Linked DNA regions of Saccharomyces cerevisiae S288C. The protein of the gene in region 2 binds, or shares a complex with, the protein of the main gene of each other region. Each region holds a gene or a part of one and is shown on either strand. Other genes may lie near its edges. The genes, in order: MRPL32, MRPL10, MRP35 and MRPL6.

Region 1 (4,539 bases), on a different chromosome or scaffold from region 2:
GTTTGTAAACTTTATCAGAAAGAAAACAAGAAGAGGAAAAAGGAAAAGAGGGGTCAGGTTAGTATCAATAAAAAAAAAGAGAGTAAACAAAACAATACAGACTCAATTGAAGCACTATAAGAATGGTAAAGATTGCGATAATTACTTACTCTACCTACGGGCACATAGACGTTTTAGCCCAAGCTGTTAAGAAAGGTGTGGAGGCAGCTGGTGGTAAAGCTGATATATACAGGGTCGAGGAAACTTTACCTGATGAAGTCCTCACCAAGATGAACGCTCCTCAGAAACCTGAAGATATTCCTGTTGCCACTGAGAAAACGTTGCTCGAATATGACGCCTTTTTGTTCGGTGTTCCAACTAGGTTTGGTAATTTGCCGGCTCAATGGTCCGCCTTTTGGGATAAAACCGGTGGATTATGGGCCAAGGGCTCTTTGAACGGCAAAGCTGCGGGGATATTCGTTAGTACTTCCAGTTACGGAGGTGGTCAAGAAAGTACCGTTAAAGCCTGTTTGTCTTATTTAGCTCATCACGGAATTATCTTTTTACCACTGGGTTATAAGAATTCATTTGCTGAGTTAGCCAGTATAGAAGAGGTACACGGTGGCTCTCCATGGGGTGCTGGTACCCTTGCAGGACCTGACGGCTCAAGAACTGCGTCTCCACTTGAATTGAGAATTGCTGAAATTCAAGGTAAAACATTCTACGAAACCGCCAAAAAACTTTTCCCTGCAAAAGAAGCCAAGCCCTCCACTGAAAAGAAGACCACTACTTCTGATGCGGCTAAGAGACAAACTAAACCTGCAGCAGCTACAACTGCAGAAAAGAAGGAGGACAAAGGATTATTATCCTGCTGTACTGTCATGTAAGAAACAACAGTTCGCGTCTAATATTTAGTTCTTACTAACATTAATTCTATCTCAGCAGATATATCAATGTAGGACGTTGGAAAATTAATAAAGAATTAACTCTTTTTATTTTATTTTTTCCTTTTTATATTAAAAGTATATTTCTGTAAGTCCTTGTACTAATAATATCATTTCCTAATATTTTGAAATATAGTTGTTTTTTGTCAAGCAAAACTCTTGATTTCAAAGACCTCATTTTGTTAAGCCAAAAGCGAAAAATTCTATTTCGACTTTTCTTTCTGTTTCCGCTCCTTGTATTCTACCATTGATGCTGTCTTAAACAATAAATATACAGTTTGAAATTAAGTTTCTATATACAGGCTTAAGTTTATTTAAAAAGGAAACCACTAGATGAAAGATGAGCCTAGTCCTTTTTTAAAGTCCGAACGCGACGTTCCAAATAGTTATCTTTATCTTTCAAATCCTTGGTATATTTGGTATCTCTTCTACCAGGATATAGGACTCTTTGGTCTAGTTCGGAAAGTTCCTCCTCTTGTCTCGGCTTAATTTCTTCTTTAGCGGTATGCGTTTTCCATATATGACTTATTTGTCCAACACAATACATACACAGTGTATTGGCTCTCTTATAATGGCCGCATGATGGGCACTTATTCAAATGGTGAATCATCTTCAATTGCTTCTTACCTGGACCGTAAAGTTTTTGCCTTTTTTTTTGGTGTGATACTTTTTTTTTAGGAACTGCTAGTAGAATACCATTATTAGAGAAAAAATCTTTATCTTCAGTGTCCTTATGATCTTGTTGTAGCTTTTCTCTCAACCAACGGTGGATAGATCCCAGTTGTTTTTGGCCTGGAATCTGCAGTGAAGGATTTCCTAGCGGTACCAACCACCCAATTGCAGTGGTAGGCACAATTTTGTGAAATGCTAATTGTTTACCAAAAATCAAAGAATTCATAGTTTGTTTGCTGATATTCCCTGGTGTTTTTGTCTCCAAGTTAAGGTATTATTTGGGAACATTGTGCCTTATATTAAGATTTGCTTTCTGAATGCTTGCGGAAATAATCGTATGATACGATGAGATTTCCTCGAGAGACCACAAATAGATCAGAATCGCTGAATAGAATATATGTAAACATGTATCAGTAATACTTAACTTTTTTCAGGCAAAGACAAGAAAATACAAGGCCAAGCCCCACGGTTACTACAAGCACTCTATAAATATATTAATGGATCCTCTCAGCTCAGTACAGCCTGCTTCTTATGTTGGTTTTGATACCATCACGAATCAGATCGAACATCGTCTGTTGAAGAAAGGTTTTCAATTTAATATAATGGTTGTTGGCCAATCCGGATTGGGTAAAAGTACTCTAATAAATACGTTATTTGCCTCACATTTGATTGATTCTGCTACTGGTGATGATATTTCTGCCCTGCCTGTTACAAAAACAACTGAAATGAAAATTTCTACTCATACTCTTGTGGAGGACCGCGTTCGCTTGAATATTAATGTTATAGATACACCTGGATTTGGTGACTTTATTGACAATTCTAAAGCTTGGGAGCCTATTGTGAAGTACATTAAGGAACAACATTCTCAATACTTACGTAAAGAATTGACAGCCCAACGTGAAAGGTTTATTACTGATACAAGAGTTCATGCAATTCTTTATTTCCTGCAACCAAATGGAAAGGAGTTGAGCCGCCTTGACGTTGAAGCCTTGAAAAGATTGACAGAAATAGCAAATGTTATACCAGTTATTGGCAAGTCGGATACATTGACTTTAGATGAAAGAACGGAGTTTAGGGAGCTTATTCAAAATGAATTCGAAAAATACAATTTCAAGATTTATCCTTATGATTCGGAAGAACTAACTGACGAGGAATTAGAACTAAACAGAAGTGTTAGATCTATCATTCCGTTTGCAGTGGTTGGTTCTGAGAATGAGATTGAAATAAACGGTGAAACCTTCAGGGGAAGAAAAACTCGTTGGAGCGCTATTAATGTTGAGGATATCAACCAGTGTGATTTTGTATATTTAAGGGAATTTTTGATTCGAACTCATCTCCAAGACTTAATCGAAACAACTTCCTACATTCATTATGAAGGGTTCAGAGCAAGACAATTAATTGCCTTGAAAGAAAATGCGAATAGTCGTTCCTCAGCTCATATGTCTAGCAACGCCATTCAACGTTGAATCTCATAAGAATGGTGGTGATTATATATCTTATGTTATTAAGAATTCTCAAATTATTCTATATGAAAACACCGTAACTTGCTTCTCTCCTTGGTTTTACATAATGACATAATGCGATCGAAAACTAGAGGTACAGGTATTGCTGGATTGGCGAGAGTTTTTACCTTCTTTTCTGGCGTACAGCTATCACCTTCTCGTTTGGTAAAATGAAAGAACATTTTGTTGTCTTAGCCAAATATTTAATCTATGAAGAAAACGGAGTTTACCGGTAATTCTAAATAAAAGTTTGGTTAGGGATTGTGCCTCATAGAGAAGCAATTGGTACTCATCTTATTAAAGTATTACTATAAACATTAGAAAGAGTCCCTGAGCGTTGCTAATGGGAAGCTATTCGCGCTTTTAGTAAATTATTAAAATACGCCAAAAATAAATGTAATCCGGATATACCTCTTCTTTTAACCTTCCCAAACGTGTCCCACACCAAATTGAGCACCCTGCTCGATTATCATATGTCTACTTCACGTCTACACCAGTATGCGATCTGATTCAATGTTGTTTTACTTTAATATATAGGTCTTGTATTTATTACAGATTAATATAAAAAGAAAAGATTTTTCTGGCCGCACACTTTCATCCTCGATTATCATTACACTTCAGTTTTTCCCTACCTCCCTTAACCTAACTTAGGAGGACTGGACTGGCCTTCTTATCATACGTTGTCAACAACTATGTTGAATCCTGAACAGCGATTGACTTTCTCCCATTTTTTATAGTTTTCTAGTGGGAATATCCTCAGTAGAGGGCAAAGTTCATTACTTAATGCAGATATTGATAAATCACATCCTCTCTCCTCTTCTGAATACTATGAAAAAATATATAACGAAAATCAAGCTATACTCATTTTAGGACAAATCAACGAGGGGTACATATATCGTTTGGATTTAGAAATTCTAAAGGAGCACTTTCATGTTTGGACGTTTCTTTATGATCTTCATGAGCACGATTATTGGAAATGCGCAGGTGAGCTGATTGATTAATGGTGCTGTCAGTAAAAAAATATGCACTGACGAAGACTCAGAAAAAGAATGGAAAATTGAAGTAAAGCGCAGGCAAAATTTTGCTTACTGTTAGATAAGAGATGCCTGCACGCTTTTGATATTTGGTCTATCAATGCATTTTATGTGTTGGTAACAGATTACATGGATAAACAAAAGAGTTAATTCTAGAAGAGATCACACTCATGTTAAGCTAGCATTTCTTCCAAAAGAACCCTACTGAACGACTAAATATTCTTCGCAAGTTAATACAATAAGGATTGTACCGACAGTGCACAGTCAAGAAAAGTGATCGAGTAAAATAGAAGAAATCCACCGAAAGGTACTAAAAGTATACAGTGAAGTTCACATAAATAAAAAAGGATATTTTCTTTAGAAACGTTGAAATAAACAGCGAGACAGTTCCATAGCAAACTCTTATAA
Region 2 (5,042 bases):
GGAGCAAATAGTTGAAAGGTGTGACATAAGAAGGTGAGTTCGTCATCAGTCATCTGACGTACGGCTTTTCTTGTTGCTGTCGGAATAATATCACCGAGATTCGAATTTTGTAAAAATTTGATGTATGTTTTAACCCAATTTAGAAAGTCATTAGGTGAGGTTAACATTGGTGGTGGTCTGACATATTTTTTAGTGGATGTCATATCAGAGTCCGCTGAGGATGAATCAGTAAATGTATTACCTGACTCAGGTGATGGAGTGCTCAGAGGCGTTCCAACTGATGATGGATACTGCGGAAACTGTGAATGTGGCCCAGGTGGAAAGTACATAGGCGACATTTGATAAGGTGTATACGGAATCATAGATGGGCGTCCGTAAAATGACCAACCAGATGGATTGGCTTGGTTTTGGGTCATCATGCACTGCTGTTGGTACGGCCCATTCTGTGGTGAATGTGACTGAGCAGTTTGAGGAGAGGCATGATGGGGGTTCTCTGGAACAGCTGATGAAGCAGGTGTTGTTGTCTGTTGAGAGTTAGCCTTAGTGGAAGCCTTATCATATTCTTGAATTTTGGAAGCTGAAACGTCTAACGGATCTTGATTTGTGTGGACTTCCTTAGAAGTAACCGAAGCACAGGCGCTACCATGAGAAATGGGTGAATGTTGAGATAATTGTTGGGATTCCATTGTTGATAAAGGCTATAATATTAGGTATACAGAATATACTAGAAGTTCTCCTCGAGGATATAGGAATCCTCAAAATGGAATCTATATTTCTACATACTAATATTACGATTATTCCTCATTCCGTTTTATATGTTTCATTATCCTATTACATTATCAATCCTTGCACTTCAGCTTCCTCTAACCTCGATGACAGCTTCTCATAACTTATGTCATCATCTTAACACCGTATATGATAATATATTGATAATATAACTATTAGTTGATAGACGATAGTGGATTTTTATTCCAACAGTGTTAAAGATCTATTAGTTGATCATGTTGGAATAAAAATCCACTATCGTCTATCCAAACAATTCTCTCAAAATTCGCCCAATTCTCAAAATTCACCCATTTCCCACACATATGTGTTTTAGGAACGTTTAGGATAAGGAATCGTCATACTGACGTACCTCATTTTGAGATACAACAAATCATATATTATAAGACTCCATGGCCAAGTTGGTTAAGGCGTGCGACTGTTAATCGCAAGATCGTGAGTTCAACCCTCACTGGGGTCGTTTATTTTTTTTGTATTTGTGCTTATTTACTAAATAACCATTTCACCCTGTTATAATAATGCTTAAAAGAAGAATGTAGTTTTTCTCTTTTCCTTTAACTGCTTTACTTCTCCCGAAAAAGCAAGATGCAATCTTTTAATATGTTTGAGTTTGCTTAAAGTATATTCACAAAAAAGAAAATAAAAGTTAAAAATTTCTGAAAATCAGGACCTTATTCGATAGTTGGTCATAAATTGACTGAAAAATAGAATAATTTCGGACACCAAATGAATCATTAACAAGACAATATCTTAAGGTATGTACAAGTGAGAATATTACTTATATATAAAACGGTTAACAATTTTTTAGTGGTCCAAAGCCTTGATGTTCATGACTTTAGAATTAGACACAACTGGCACCCAATCCTTCTCTGGAGACAGTTCTTCTAGCTCTATTTCTAATGAGCTCTTTTTTACATTCTGTTTTAAAAAGTGTCTAGAACCCTTATTTTGAGCTTCTTTGATATCTTGTAAGAGTTTATCTTTTTCCATTACTAGGTAACCTCTTTTCTCTTCTTTACTATAGAAATCAATATCCCTTCTTTTCGTGGGTCTAGCCTGTAGTGGTACTCTTCCCCTCTTCTCAAGAAACCACTGGGGGTTGAGATGTGCCCTTAGACCCAACGGTGTGTAGTAACGAGCTGTAAACTTACCTCCTGCTTTTTCAATAGCCGCAATAGCCTTAGCGGATGCTCTAGAAGCCTCCAAAGCAATCGGTAGATTGTAGTGGAACTTTCCGCTGGCTAGAATTTTAACTCCGTACTTTATGGGACCAGTTACCAGACCAAGCTTTCTCATCTTATTCATGTCTAAAACCTCGCCTGGTTGCAAATGAAGCCTATTTTTATCATGAAACCATTGAATGCGTTTCAAGTTTAATTCCTTTAATGGTTTGGCGCCAACGTTGGTAAATCCAATTTTAGGAAATAGCTTGTAAATTGGAGTTTGACCACCTTCAAACCACGATTTTACTTTACCACGCGCCTTTTGACCCTTTTGACCACGCCCTGATGTCTTACCTAAACCGCTGGAAGGACCACGCCCAAGTCTTTTGAAAGACTTTGTAGAACCATCTGACGGTTTCAATTGTCCCAAAATCGAAACATAACGATAACTTTGAAATGCTAATACCGGCGATTTGAATAAACCTCGGAAAAAAATATCGTTACCAGCTACGCTAGTTAACATCATGGACGGAACAAAAGTGTTTATTAGTTTGCGACCGATTACGGTTGTAAAACTATTTCTTAATCCTGTTTGCCTTTCCGCTTTCATCAACTTCTAAAGGTCATGAGCTTTAATTTTACGCACTGCGTTTAGTGCAGTTACCTGGAGTTTCAGCCGGGTAAGAAAACTATACGATTGCCAAATAGAAAAACGGATATAAAGATAGTAGCTGTGAATAGTAGCTTTGTATAGTACATAAAGGTACCTTATCTAACATTGCTTGCGACGCAGAATACGCAAAATATACTGTTTAATTGCAATCAGGAGTTTGCTACGGTATTTGGTATAATCGGAACTCATATTGTCCTACGTTCACCGAGACCAATGAACGCACAATAAAATGGATACTTGGAATGCCCTACCCAAAATATGAGCTGCGTTTGTTTTGTGAAAAACGAAAAGTAATTAAGTTGTTTTGCAGAAGTGTGAATAATTGGGGGACGCCATTTGGTTTCTCTCTTCTGATTGATTAAAGTTAATTTCGGCACAATAACCCAATGACTGGCTAGGAAACTTCTCGATGCATCCGTGATCTCCCAAGGACGAAATGGTTTTTATCACGTCCTAACGACATCATATGTCCTCGAGGAGAACTTCTAGTATAGTATTTATTAACAATGGAATCCCAACAATCATCAAATTATTCACCAAATATACACAGATTCTTATACTAACTAAAGTAAGAAGATTAGGATTTCCATACTCATTTTGTTAAGTAGCACTTGTATATCCGGTTTTCTCAAGTTCTGAGCTTCTATGGCCAAGTTGGTAAGGCGCCACACTAGTAATGTGGAGATCATCGGTTCAAATCCGATTGGAAGCATATTATTTTTATTCTACGGTAAACATGCCTGATGGTGATTTGAGACAGACCCCATTGCCTCAGATTTGTGAAGAATAGAAAATGTGTACATTCATTTTGATAAACTATACATATACTTAACTTTTTAACATGATAAATCAATATTGATATGGTCGGTACTGTTCACTTTATCTATATTTTTTTTCTTTCGTGCAATAATCGTCGGCTTTAATAATATTATACATACAAAGGGAAAATGAAGGAAAGAAATATGAAAGGATGAATAAGTCTTTGATATGAATATGTAGTGTTGGTATCTAAACCTAGTCAGCGCAAAGAACTATTATTGGAATCCTTTGCATCATCGTAATCATCATCACCATCTGAGACATTACTCCCAATATTTGAACTCACATTATCGGGGTTGACAATGTGTAGTTGTCTTTCTTCCATCATATCGGGCAGCGAAGTAGCACTGAACCTTTGGTTCCCGTTATAGATCGAAGGAGGCTCCTCGTACACTACCGAGGGAAAGTGACTTCTTTTGCTGATATTATGTGCATCACCAGTAATAATAGAATCTCTGCCGCCCGGCGCCCTTGTCGGCAGATCATAAGTGGCAAAAGTAGACGCTGTATTCTTGGACAATGCTGTATTATTCCTAGAGGGTATGTGCCAGTTAGTGCTCGAAGCAGACGGTGGAATAACAGGGTTAGCGTCAGCATCACCCAGTGAGTACGGCTGGTACTGCTTTGTCTCTTCCAAGTCCACATGCTGAGAAGATTGGCGACGTTTTTTCCATACGAAAAAGAATAACGCCAGAGCCAACAAGGCAACTGTACCACAAACCACACCTACTACGACACCTGCGATGGCGCCACCACTCAAGCCTTTGCTCTTGGACGAGCTCGATTTCCCGTTTAAGAGAGAACTAGTAGAGGAGGACGTAGACGATACTGTTGCATAAACAGAGGTCCTGGTGGTAAAGATCGTGCTTGCTTGTTGGTTAGCTTGAGAAACCACGGACTGCGTCACCACACGGGTAGTGTAATGCGTGGAAGTACCTATTGAAGTCGATGAGGGGGTAGAAGTGACCGTTGCTGTCGAAGTTGAGGATGAGGTCGATGTGGTGGATGAAGAAGTTGCCTGCGTAGAGGACGTTTCTGAACTGGAAGAGGCAGAAGTGCTAGAGGAAGTGGTGGAAGGAGAAGAAGAAGTAGAAGTAGTACTAGAGGTAGTAGAAGTAGTAGAAGTAGTAGACGTAGAAGAGGAAGAGGATGAAGAAGAGGAGGAAGTAGTTGTCTCTGAAGAGGAAGTGGTAGTGGAGGTTGTAGACGAGGAAGAGGATGAGTGCGTAGCAGAAGAACTAGTTGAAGTTTTCGTGTCCAATTTCGTGGACGTTTTTGAACTAACACTTGTGCTTGATGAAGATGTTGTCGATGTTGAGGTAGCAGTAGATGAAGTTGAGTCCGCGGTAGAAGCAGCGTTATTGATATAAACGTTCATGGCAGAAGAACCACCACAATTTTGGTAGGGCCAGCCAGCACACGAAACATCACATTTGCTCGAATCTACCTGCGTCAAAGACTGTAACTGAGCTACGGAACCACCACAGTAGCAACCTGTACCGTTGAAAAGAGCAACGACAGCCTGACCAGGGCATTCATTTTGACAGTAGGAAACTGATTGATACTCGTAAACACCCTTGTAAGTCAACCCCAATTTTCGTATA
Region 3 (4,694 bases), 290 kb from region 2:
TGTCACCATTGCAGATTCCCTTGTAGTTCCAGCCACAGTAGAATTTCTCCATCCAACTCACAACTTCGCTATTGTTAAATATGATCCAGAGTTAGTAAAGGCTCCACTAATCACTCCCAAGCTATCTACCACCAGAATGAAACGTGGTGATAAGCTTCAGTTTATAGGTTTTACCCAGAATGATAGAATTGTTACTTCAGAGACCACTGTCACCGATATTTCCTCTGTAAGTATTCCAAGTAATTTAATTCCGAGGTACCGTGCCACTAATTTAGAAGCTATATCTATCGACTGCAACGTTAGCACCAGATGTAATTCCGGTATTTTGACAGATAATGATGGTACAGTAAGAGGTTTATGGCTTCCATTTTTAGGCGAAAGATTAGAAAATAAAGAAAAGGTTTATTTGATGGGATTAGATATAATGGACTGTAGGGAAGTTATAGATATCTTAAAAAATGGCGGTAAACCAAGAGTAAGTATAGTTGATGCTGGGTTCGGTTCAATTTCCGTTCTGCAAGCCAGAATTAGAGGTGTGCCCGAAGAATGGATCATGCGTATGGAACATGAATCAAATAACAGGCTACAGTTTATCACTGTTTCTAGAGTTTCTTATACAGAAGACAAGATTCATTTAGAGACCGGTGACGTCATTTTATCTGTGAACGGAAAATTAGTCACTGAAATGAATGATTTGAATGGAGTTGTAAGCTCAGCTGATGGTATTTTGCCATCAGCCATGTTAGATTTTAAAGTTGTTCGTGATGGTAATATTGTTGATTTGAAAATTAAAACCGTGGAAGTTCAGGAAACCGACCGTTTTGTAATATTTGCAGGTAGTATCTTACAAAAGCCGCATCATGCTGTTTTGCAAGCTATGGTTGATGTTCCAAAGGGTGTCTACTGTACATTCAGGGGAGAATCGTCACCGGCGCTCCAGTACGGTATATCTGCCACAAACTTCATAACTCATGTCAATGAAATTGAAACACCTGATCTAGATACATTTTTGAAAGTTGTCAAAACAATCCCTGATAATAGTTATTGTAAAATGAGGTTAATGACTTTCGACAATGTGCCCTTCGCTATTTCACTGAAAACGAATTATCATTACTTCCCTACTGCAGAATTGAAGAGGGACAACATCACGCACAAATGGATTGAAAAGGAATTTACCGGCAACAGCCAAAGTGAAAAATAGGCCAGATTTGATAAAACATTTATATATGTATGTATGTATGTATACATCAAAGTCTTCCATAAAGAACAGTTTTTTTATAGACTATCACAGGAGCGTTAAGATTTACAAGTTTTTCAATCATTTTGAGGGGTTAGGATTATGATGTCGAGATGGTTGCAAGCGCCTGACGAAATAGTATTTAATTACTTCAACGCTTGAATTCTCTAAGGTATTATCGATTGTATAAATTTATGGTTATTGTTTCATACTTATTTATATACATGAAGACCGAAAGCAAATACTCAAACAATTGATTTGGGGTTAACGGTGCGTTTGGTTTAGAGGAGAACATAATTATTCCACCTTCAATGATAGGGTAATAACCGCTTTAGATGCTTTGAATAAGCTGGATGGGCAATTTTCCTTCCGGTTAAGGCTTTTAATGATCTATGGGACCAGCCTATATTGCCATGTTTTCTTCCAGCTATGCCTCTTTTAAAAGTATTACCGGTACGCCTCCACCTCTTTGCTGTACCTTTATGAGTTTTCATTAAAGTTCTTATTGTTATTGTAGAAACGTTATTGAATAGAAAGCCGTTGAGCTTCACTTTGAAACTATTTGAACCTTTAAGTAGTGGTTTGAGTACATTGAAAACAGACATGTTTTGGTTTTGGTCTCCTCGTTGCCGTTTGTTATGCAAGCTAATTTTCATGATAGATATATATACTATCTTTTTTGTATTTGACCAGATTTTTTTAGGCTCCGCAAATTGGCGAGGGCTTCAAGGTTGAAAAAATTGGTTGTGGTTTATACGCACTGCTAATTATTTACAGAATGAAAGAGAAAAAGAAAAAGATATATATATATATATTAGAACATGCATACGTGTATATTGAAACAAAAATGAAAACAAAAATTTTCAAAGTGAGATGTCAATGTCATTGCTGCTCTTCCTTTGTCATTTAGTCTACTTTGTTACTTAGTTTTTGTCTTCTCCTAAAAGTTTTTAAGTTTATGTTTACTGTTTACATTAAACCCTGTTCGCGTAATTTAGCTAAAGTTTCTTGAATCTTTTTAGCCAATACTGGATCAGACCTAATTCTTTGTTGAACTTTAGCGGCTTCAGCAAAAGTAATGGCTTGTAATTTCTCTTCCATAGTTCTAGCCAAATCAGCGGATTCTTCGAATAATGTAATAGCTTCATCGATATCTTCCTGCTGCAATTTCATTTGAGCTAAACCGATTTTAGCTTGCTCACTTCTTGGGTCTAGTTTGGACGCTTTTTCTAATAAATTCGTGGCTTCAATAAAATTTTCTACTGTTGGATTTCTTGTCAACAAAGTGGCTTTACCGACCAAAGGCGCAATTCCAACATAAATACCATCCAACTTGTTTTCTAATTCAATAGCCAAATCGTACTGCTTCAAAGCCTTGTCAAAATCGTTCTTGTCTGTTAAAATTTCAGCAAAGAAATTTGGAACTTCTGGTGCCTCTGGAAATTTTCTCTTAGCTTCACTAAACAAAGTTTCACAGTCATCAAACTTGTTTTCACGGTACGCTAGACATGCTAATTGAATATAAGGGAAGATATTCTCTGGGTCTAATTCCTTAGCTTTATCAAAATCTTTTCCTGCTTGATCATAGTTTTGTAAAATGAAATTCATTTGGCCGCGGTGATAGTAAACAGAAGAATTGTTTGAGTCCAGTTTCAGCGCTTTATCGAAGTAGTTATAATATTCAGTCGAGTCATTTCTATCAGCCATGATTAATGCCATGTAGATATATGAATTGACTCTTGGGAACAATTCAATAGCTTTCTTGATGTCTTCGTGAGCTCCCAATGGATCGTTTTTCAAGAACTTGAAAATACCTGTGTGTTCTAATGAGATGGCCAATTTTTCCTTTAACTTTTCATCCTCATTGTTCTTGTCCAATTGTTCTTCAAATAACCTTGCAGCTTTCGTGAAAGACTCATCAGCCTTGTCGTAACTTTCGGGAGATCTTTTGTACAAATTACTTAAACCGTTCATTAACTCTTTATCAGCTTCATTGGATTCATCATAATTGGCAAAAGTCAACTCGGGTTTGAAAATACCAAAGAAAGAGGCCATGGATGTAACTGAAGGCAAGTTTTCCTGCTTGTCTTTGCGTTCTTTAGCTGGTTGGGTGGATAATTCAGTTGGAGTAGCAGTAGCGGTGTCAATATCGCCAAACTTTTCTTTCAATTTAGACATAGCTTGCTTATTCAAGTTCCTCTCCAACATTGGTTCAATAGAGGCGTCATTGAAGTCACCATTTAGAGACAATACAGACAAATCGAACATCGCATCCGCAAATTTTCCTAGCCCTTCGTTAGCAGAAGCTCTTCTCAGTAAAACTTTTGAGTAGTCTGGTTTTAATTCAAGAGCCTTAGTACTCATTTCAACAACTTTTTTCAAGTCACCCACAGAAACATAGCAAGCCGATAAATTCGAGTAGAAAACTGGGTCTTCTTTCAATTCTAATGCCCAATTATAGTACTTAATAGCATCGTCATATTTTTTATTTCTAAAGAACTGGTTACCTTTGTCCTTTAACGCTAATGCATATTTATCCTTTTCTTCAGCGGTGAAATTTGCCTTATTGGAAAAATCTGGTTCGCCATTACTAGAAACCGGGTAGATAGGAGGATTTGATGGGGCTGTAGATTTCTTAGCACCTTCAGTCTCCTTTTGAGAGTCCTTTGTGTCCTTTTTTTCATCTTTGTTGATCGTGTTCTTTTTTCCTCGTTGTTGTTGTTGTTGCAATTGGTTGTAATAATAGTAGGCACCGATGGCAGTACCTGTAGCAGCAACGGTTGCCAAAATGGCTGTCTTGTTCCTTGTAATGAAGCTCTTCATTGGCAATTGAGAACCTAGATGTGAGCTGTAATTTCACTTCCGAATCTTGCTTCTCTTTTATGGTGAGTGGTGGAGTTCCTCTTAATTCCTTTAAGATCTTTTCCACTGGTCGTCCAAACACAAAAGGTGGTTTAACGCCATCTTATTCATCGTATACAGTGATATTGTATATTTTAAACTAATGGCAATGAAACTCTTTCTTTCCTTCCACTTAATCCTTGAATGTTTGTTTCTGAAATGATATAACACTGTTGAACCTTATGGAAACATTTGAAGTTGCCTGCACAGTGTTTCTTTCAATAAAGTCATCTTTATTATTTTTGAATAGTTGACTTAATTACATCATCATTATCTACGTATTATGGAGTTTTTTTCAGTTACGCAGTGAAAAACTGTTATAGTACCGATGAGATGAGTGAGACGAGCATAAAATTAACTTCGGTTTCTGTATTTGCTATTGTCCATCCCTATCCTAGTTTTAAAAATATAATTCTATCAAGTTATGGAGTGCCAGAGGTGCCCTGCATCTGCCAGAAATCCAGCGACAGTTGAGTCTAGAAAGGAAAAGTTTTGCGATGAATGTTTCATCAAGTTTGTTAGTACTAAACAAAGGAAACAAATGATGAAGGATGAA
Region 4 (4,840 bases), on a different chromosome or scaffold from region 2:
AGAAATTGGAAGGTACAGCATTTCATTTACTCACTTATTTGATCTTTTCTTTTGTTTTCTGGTAAACATCTTTGTTTTAAATGGGCTCTCTACAACAAAACATGAAAAGTACTCAAGAAAAAAAATCTTTATTAGCGTTGGAATCAAAAAATATATAGCATTAGCAGAACGTTAAAGAGGATATTTGGTTTCTAGTCTAAATGGTGTTCCCTTTTCGAAACTGTATAAAATGAAAGGTAAGGTTCGAACTTCTGTGGCCTTACTTATTGCGTTCATATTCCGTGAAACTAGTATATATTAAAGGTTGCAAGCCAAGAGTTTCATTGAACACCAAAATGTTTACCAAGCAAGAACACGTCACCGCATTAATAACCAATATAAATTTCATTTAAGTTATTTTCATAGGATATTTACAAGGTATTCCCTATAAAGTATAAGAAAAGATACATGTCATAAAAAAAATTACGAAAATGAGTACGAAAATAACTGAAATCCTGAAGTTATTTGATTTTCTTGTCCTTTAGCTTTATTGTTTCATCGTTAACGTATATTCCTTTGCCTTTATACGGCTCTGGTGGATGGAATTTTCTCAATTTGGCAGCAAAAAGAAGGACCTGCTGCTTATTGCACCCTTCAATAATCAGAGACGTGGGAGCAGGTGTTTTGACAACAATACCTTCAGGAACGTCCAATCCTTGTTTGATAGATGCACCCACCTTAACGTTGACAAATTTACCATCATTTTCTAATTGAGCTCTATAACCTGTCCCTACAAATCTAAGGACAGCAAGATGCCCCTCAGTAACACCTATAATGTGATTATTTATAAGTGATCTTACTGTACCCCACATCGAACGTTGATGTTTATCTTCTGAATTCTGAACTGTAACATTTATTTTACCGTGCTTTTCATCCTTGTCCAAGTGCAAAAAATCAGGGACCTCCACGGACAATTCACCCTTGGGTCCCTTTACTGTGATATTCTGTGATATATTCATTGAAGTTCTACCTTTTCTGATAATCCTGGGCATGGATAATGCATTTATGGAAACCTGAACTTCAGGAGATATATAAAGTGGTAAAGACCCCACTTGAGAGCGCAGAAAAAGTGTTTGCGACAATAACCTCCTCTGAATAAATGACATAGGTTGGCCTCAATTCCTATAGTAAGATTTGCGATAGCTTTATTGCGTGATCTTCCCTTACTTACTAGTATTTGATATTCTTCCTCTATAACCGTAGCGTCTCCTCGCTATTTCCGCTCGCCTTTCATTACCCTCTACTTCCAGTGAAAAAAATTTCACTGATATAAGCTCATCGCAACAAAAATTCAATGGGATAAGTAATATAGAACGTTCTAAATAGATAAACCACCAGGCATAATCACAACCAATAATGGTTAGAAAACTAAAGCATCATGAGCAAAAGTTATTGAAAAAAGTAGACTTCCTTGAATGGAAGCAGGACCAAGGCCACCGGGACACTCAGGTCATGAGAACATATCATATTCAGAATCGTGAAGATTATCATAAATACAATAGGATATGCGGTGATATTCGTCGTCTTGCCAATAAATTATCATTATTACCTCCCACTGATCCATTTCGTCGCAAACATGAGCAATTATTACTGGACAAGCTATACGCTATGGGTGTCCTGACAACTAAATCAAAGATTTCTGATCTGGAAAATAAAGTTACTGTTAGTGCCATCTGTAGGAGGCGATTACCTGTAATAATGCATAGATTAAAAATGGCGGAAACTATACAAGATGCAGTCAAGTTCATTGAACAAGGGCATGTTCGCGTGGGTCCAAATTTGATCAACGATCCAGCCTACCTCGTAACGAGAAATATGGAGGACTACGTTACTTGGGTGGACAACTCTAAGATCAAGAAAACCTTGTTGAGATACAGAAACCAAATCGACGATTTTGATTTTTCATAAATTGACTACAAACTTACGTTTTCTGTATCAATACTCGATTTATCATCTTCCTACATTGTGAAATTATTACGAATAGGCAACGAGGCAGCAAATACAAATGATGTGAGGCGCCTGAGCTTTCTTAAAAGCTGGAAGCATGAAAAATTGTTATATACACAAAGGAACTTCTTCGTCGTATGCAAAAATAAGAAAAACCGCAAAACAATTTCTCATCGGCGTCATTTGTTAAATATGCCTTAAAACTTAAAAATACACTTCGAAAAAATCCTATTTAACATAAATTAATTTGTATAAATACGCAATTTGTAAAATTTCTCCAATAAAACATCAATTTATATATCCGATAATTGTCCGTTCATTATCTACACTTCAGTTGACGGTATAATTATGTGAAGAGCCTAATTGTTTTCTTAAATCGTCCTGTGAACCACTATGTGGCAAAATTCCACCAACACTTGGTGGCTGTACAACATCTGTCTCTTCTAATATCCCACTAACACGAGAATTATACAGTTGCTGCTGCTGCTGTTGCAGATAGATATTATTTTGTGTGGTCAGACTGTTATTTCTTGAATTGGTTGCGCTTACACTTCTGAAAGAACCTGCTGGCTTATAAGATGGTTTTGCCGTCAAATCCGAAGGATTGGTCATTACCACACTTTGTCTAAGTTGATAAGGTGAAGGAACCGCCCCATTTTCGTTAAACTTCATATATTGGCCTTGCTGCTGTGGAGCATAATAGGCATCGTTTGTCGGTGAATAAAACATTTCCGGATGATCGACCGGATTTAACGCAGTTCCGTTTAGTCTGGCAGTCTGTAATTGAAGAAGTTGTTGCTTGTTTGGTCTTTTAAAAGAGGTCAATGAATGCGAGGAAGCTGATTGAGCTAAATATGCGGGAGTTGGTAATTCTCCAATAGTTTCCAGGGTCTGAGGATGATTATGTTGCTGTTGTTGAGGAGTTGGTACACCGTACCATTGTGGATTTTGCACGAATTGCGCAGTATACCCCTGTTGCTGAGGATTTCCGCTATATCCATTGCCAGGATACTGTGTGTGGCCATTATATACTGGTGATTGTTCCTGTTGTTGATATTGATCCTGATAATTCAACGGCTGAATTGCTTCGGAATAAATTGAGGAAGCAATTCTATTGGAAGGCGCTGCTTCCGTATCGTTCACGGTGAGTGTATCCTGCACTGGATATTGTTTCTGGCTTTGGGCCATTTCTGGACCATATTCTGCCAAGTTAGTATTGTTTAGAGGAAGTGCTTCTTTCACCAGGTGTTTTGCTTCCGGTACCTCATTATTGTCGATATTGTCGTTATTATTAATTTTGATAGAAGGCAGTGGATTCTGGACTATATTATCCACTCTATTCTCCTCCTGCGATATATCATTTGCATTATCTGCTTTATCCTCTTCCTTTTTCATTGTTTTAGCTCTATCCAAATAAACTTGATAAATACTTTTCATTCTCTTAATATCTTCTTCTTCATTAGGGGATAAGAGTGATACATAGTAATCATCATCTTGACTTTTACTGCTACTACGATCATTCATATGTTCAGCTTCTCTGATATCTTGAAGTTCATAATTATCATCATCCTTACCAAAACGCAGATTCCTTTCATGTGTCTTTTCTGAACTATTATCAAGTTCGAATTCGAACGCGTCATTGCTTGCAGACTCATTTGACTCATTCAAAACCTCAGCCTCTTCACTAACTGAGGACGAATCATTGTCTTCATTAGGAAATGTAAACTGCTTGTTGGCACCTTCTGTGGCAGAACCACGGGAAAGCTGGTTATTATGGATTGGGCTACCGTGAGATCGAAAGCTTTCACTCTCTTGAAATCTTGAAGACGCTCTTATTGGTGTACAATTCGAAAAGTTATCAGGATGCAAGGACGTTTGACTGGCATTTCTAGACTCGGCCGCAACTTTATAGCCACCTAGTCCATCTTCTTGTACTCTCATGGCAAAATCTCTCAAACTGTTAGAGTCGTTCGATTCCTGTGGAAGCTGAAACGGGTCTACGTACCATGACCGACCAATTGCAGGTGGGGTAGCGCTTCTCACATTATATTTACTACTATGCATGCTACCAACAAAGGGATCTGAAGGCGGCTGTTGCAAGGTCTTTTCCATGAAGTCTTGCTGCGAGTCGCTAGAGTACAAATGATTTATTCCAGGTGAATAATCCTTCATTGTCGGTAAAAATTCAGAATCTCCTTCGAAATCTGGATCATTATCTTCCTCAGCTTCCTTTTTGCTTCTCCTATACACAATGCAAAGTATCACAGCCAGAACAATGATAATGACACCTACTGGTACCGCAACAGCCACACCAACAGTTACACTGGTGCTGTGACTCGAATCTGTGGGTAATTGACATTGCTGTTTAGAGCCTGTACATTCAGCAGATTTGCTATTTTTCGTGCTGGATGCTGAGGAAGAAGATGAATCGCTATCGTCTCTTCTAGTGAGCCTTGCATAAGCATAAGACGCATCAGAAACACTTACCGTTGAAGTCACAGATATTAAACTTTCATGCATATGGGTGTGGTACATCGCGAACTATATCTTTGTTAGAACTATGTGACGCTATATGAGTTCAACGAAAAACTATGAAAGGTAATGAAAGAATGAAAAGAAGAACCAGTGAAAAATTCGATATGGATAAAGACAAGGCCTGCTCCCCACAAAAGCTTCACCATGAGTTTGTTATTGATTATTAAAAGTTCTTATTGAGATAAAAAGAGAAAAAATACGGAAGAAACCTTGTCTTTTCGATGAACTTTCCTATTTGGGTGAGCAGTTTTCCTCTTCGAGCTGCAAAAAAGTTTATCGCTTCGCGAAAAAAAAAAAAAAAAAAATTTAAAGAATTTCA

The links.
Region 1: MRPL10 (region 2) and MRPL32 share a complex: the UniProt entries of both Saccharomyces cerevisiae proteins name them as parts of the mitochondrial large ribosomal subunit.
Region 3: MRPL10 (region 2) and MRP35 share a complex: the UniProt entries of both Saccharomyces cerevisiae proteins name them as parts of the mitochondrial large ribosomal subunit.
Region 4: MRPL10 (region 2) and MRPL6 share a complex: the UniProt entries of both Saccharomyces cerevisiae proteins name them as parts of the mitochondrial large ribosomal subunit.

Annotation. Positions count from the first base shown.
Region 1 is NC_001135.5:115,902-120,440, reverse strand, and holds MRPL32 (mitochondrial 54S ribosomal protein bL32m MRPL32), read right to left. Parts: upstream 1,822-4,539; coding exon 1,270-1,821; downstream 1-1,269. Other genes in the region: YCP4 (flavodoxin-like fold family protein), read left to right, coding at 123-866; septin CDC10, read left to right, coding at 2,093-3,061; YCR001W (uncharacterized protein), read right to left, coding at 4,442-4,539. UniProt on the Saccharomyces cerevisiae protein: Component of the mitochondrial ribosome (mitoribosome), a dedicated translation machinery responsible for the synthesis of mitochondrial genome-encoded proteins, including at least some of the essential transmembrane subunits of the mitochondrial respiratory chain.
Region 2 is NC_001146.8:101,547-106,588, forward strand, and holds MRPL10 (mitochondrial 54S ribosomal protein uL15m MRPL10), read right to left. Parts: upstream 2,557-5,042; coding exon 1,588-2,556; downstream 1-1,587. Other genes in the region: YNL284C-A (gag protein), read right to left, coding at 1-686; WSC2 (Wsc2p), read right to left, coding at 3,638-5,042. UniProt on the Saccharomyces cerevisiae protein: Component of the mitochondrial ribosome (mitoribosome), a dedicated translation machinery responsible for the synthesis of mitochondrial genome-encoded proteins, including at least some of the essential transmembrane subunits of the mitochondrial respiratory chain.
Region 3 is NC_001146.8:396,478-401,171, forward strand, and holds MRP35 (mitochondrial 54S ribosomal protein bL35m MRP35), read right to left. Parts: upstream 1,894-4,694; coding exon 1,546-1,893; downstream 1-1,545. Other genes in the region: NMA111 (Nma111p), read left to right, coding at 1-1,201; protein channel TOM70, read right to left, coding at 2,207-4,060; NCS2 (Ncs2p), read left to right, coding at 4,563-4,694. UniProt on the Saccharomyces cerevisiae protein: Component of the mitochondrial ribosome (mitoribosome), a dedicated translation machinery responsible for the synthesis of mitochondrial genome-encoded proteins, including at least some of the essential transmembrane subunits of the mitochondrial respiratory chain.
Region 4 is NC_001140.6:392,139-396,978, forward strand, and holds MRPL6 (mitochondrial 54S ribosomal protein uL6m MRPL6), read right to left. Parts: upstream 1,146-4,840; coding exon 501-1,145; downstream 1-500. Other genes in the region: snoRNA-binding rRNA-processing protein IMP3, read left to right, coding at 1,396-1,947; SKG6 (Skg6p), read right to left, coding at 2,317-4,521. UniProt on the Saccharomyces cerevisiae protein: Component of the mitochondrial ribosome (mitoribosome), a dedicated translation machinery responsible for the synthesis of mitochondrial genome-encoded proteins, including at least some of the essential transmembrane subunits of the mitochondrial respiratory chain.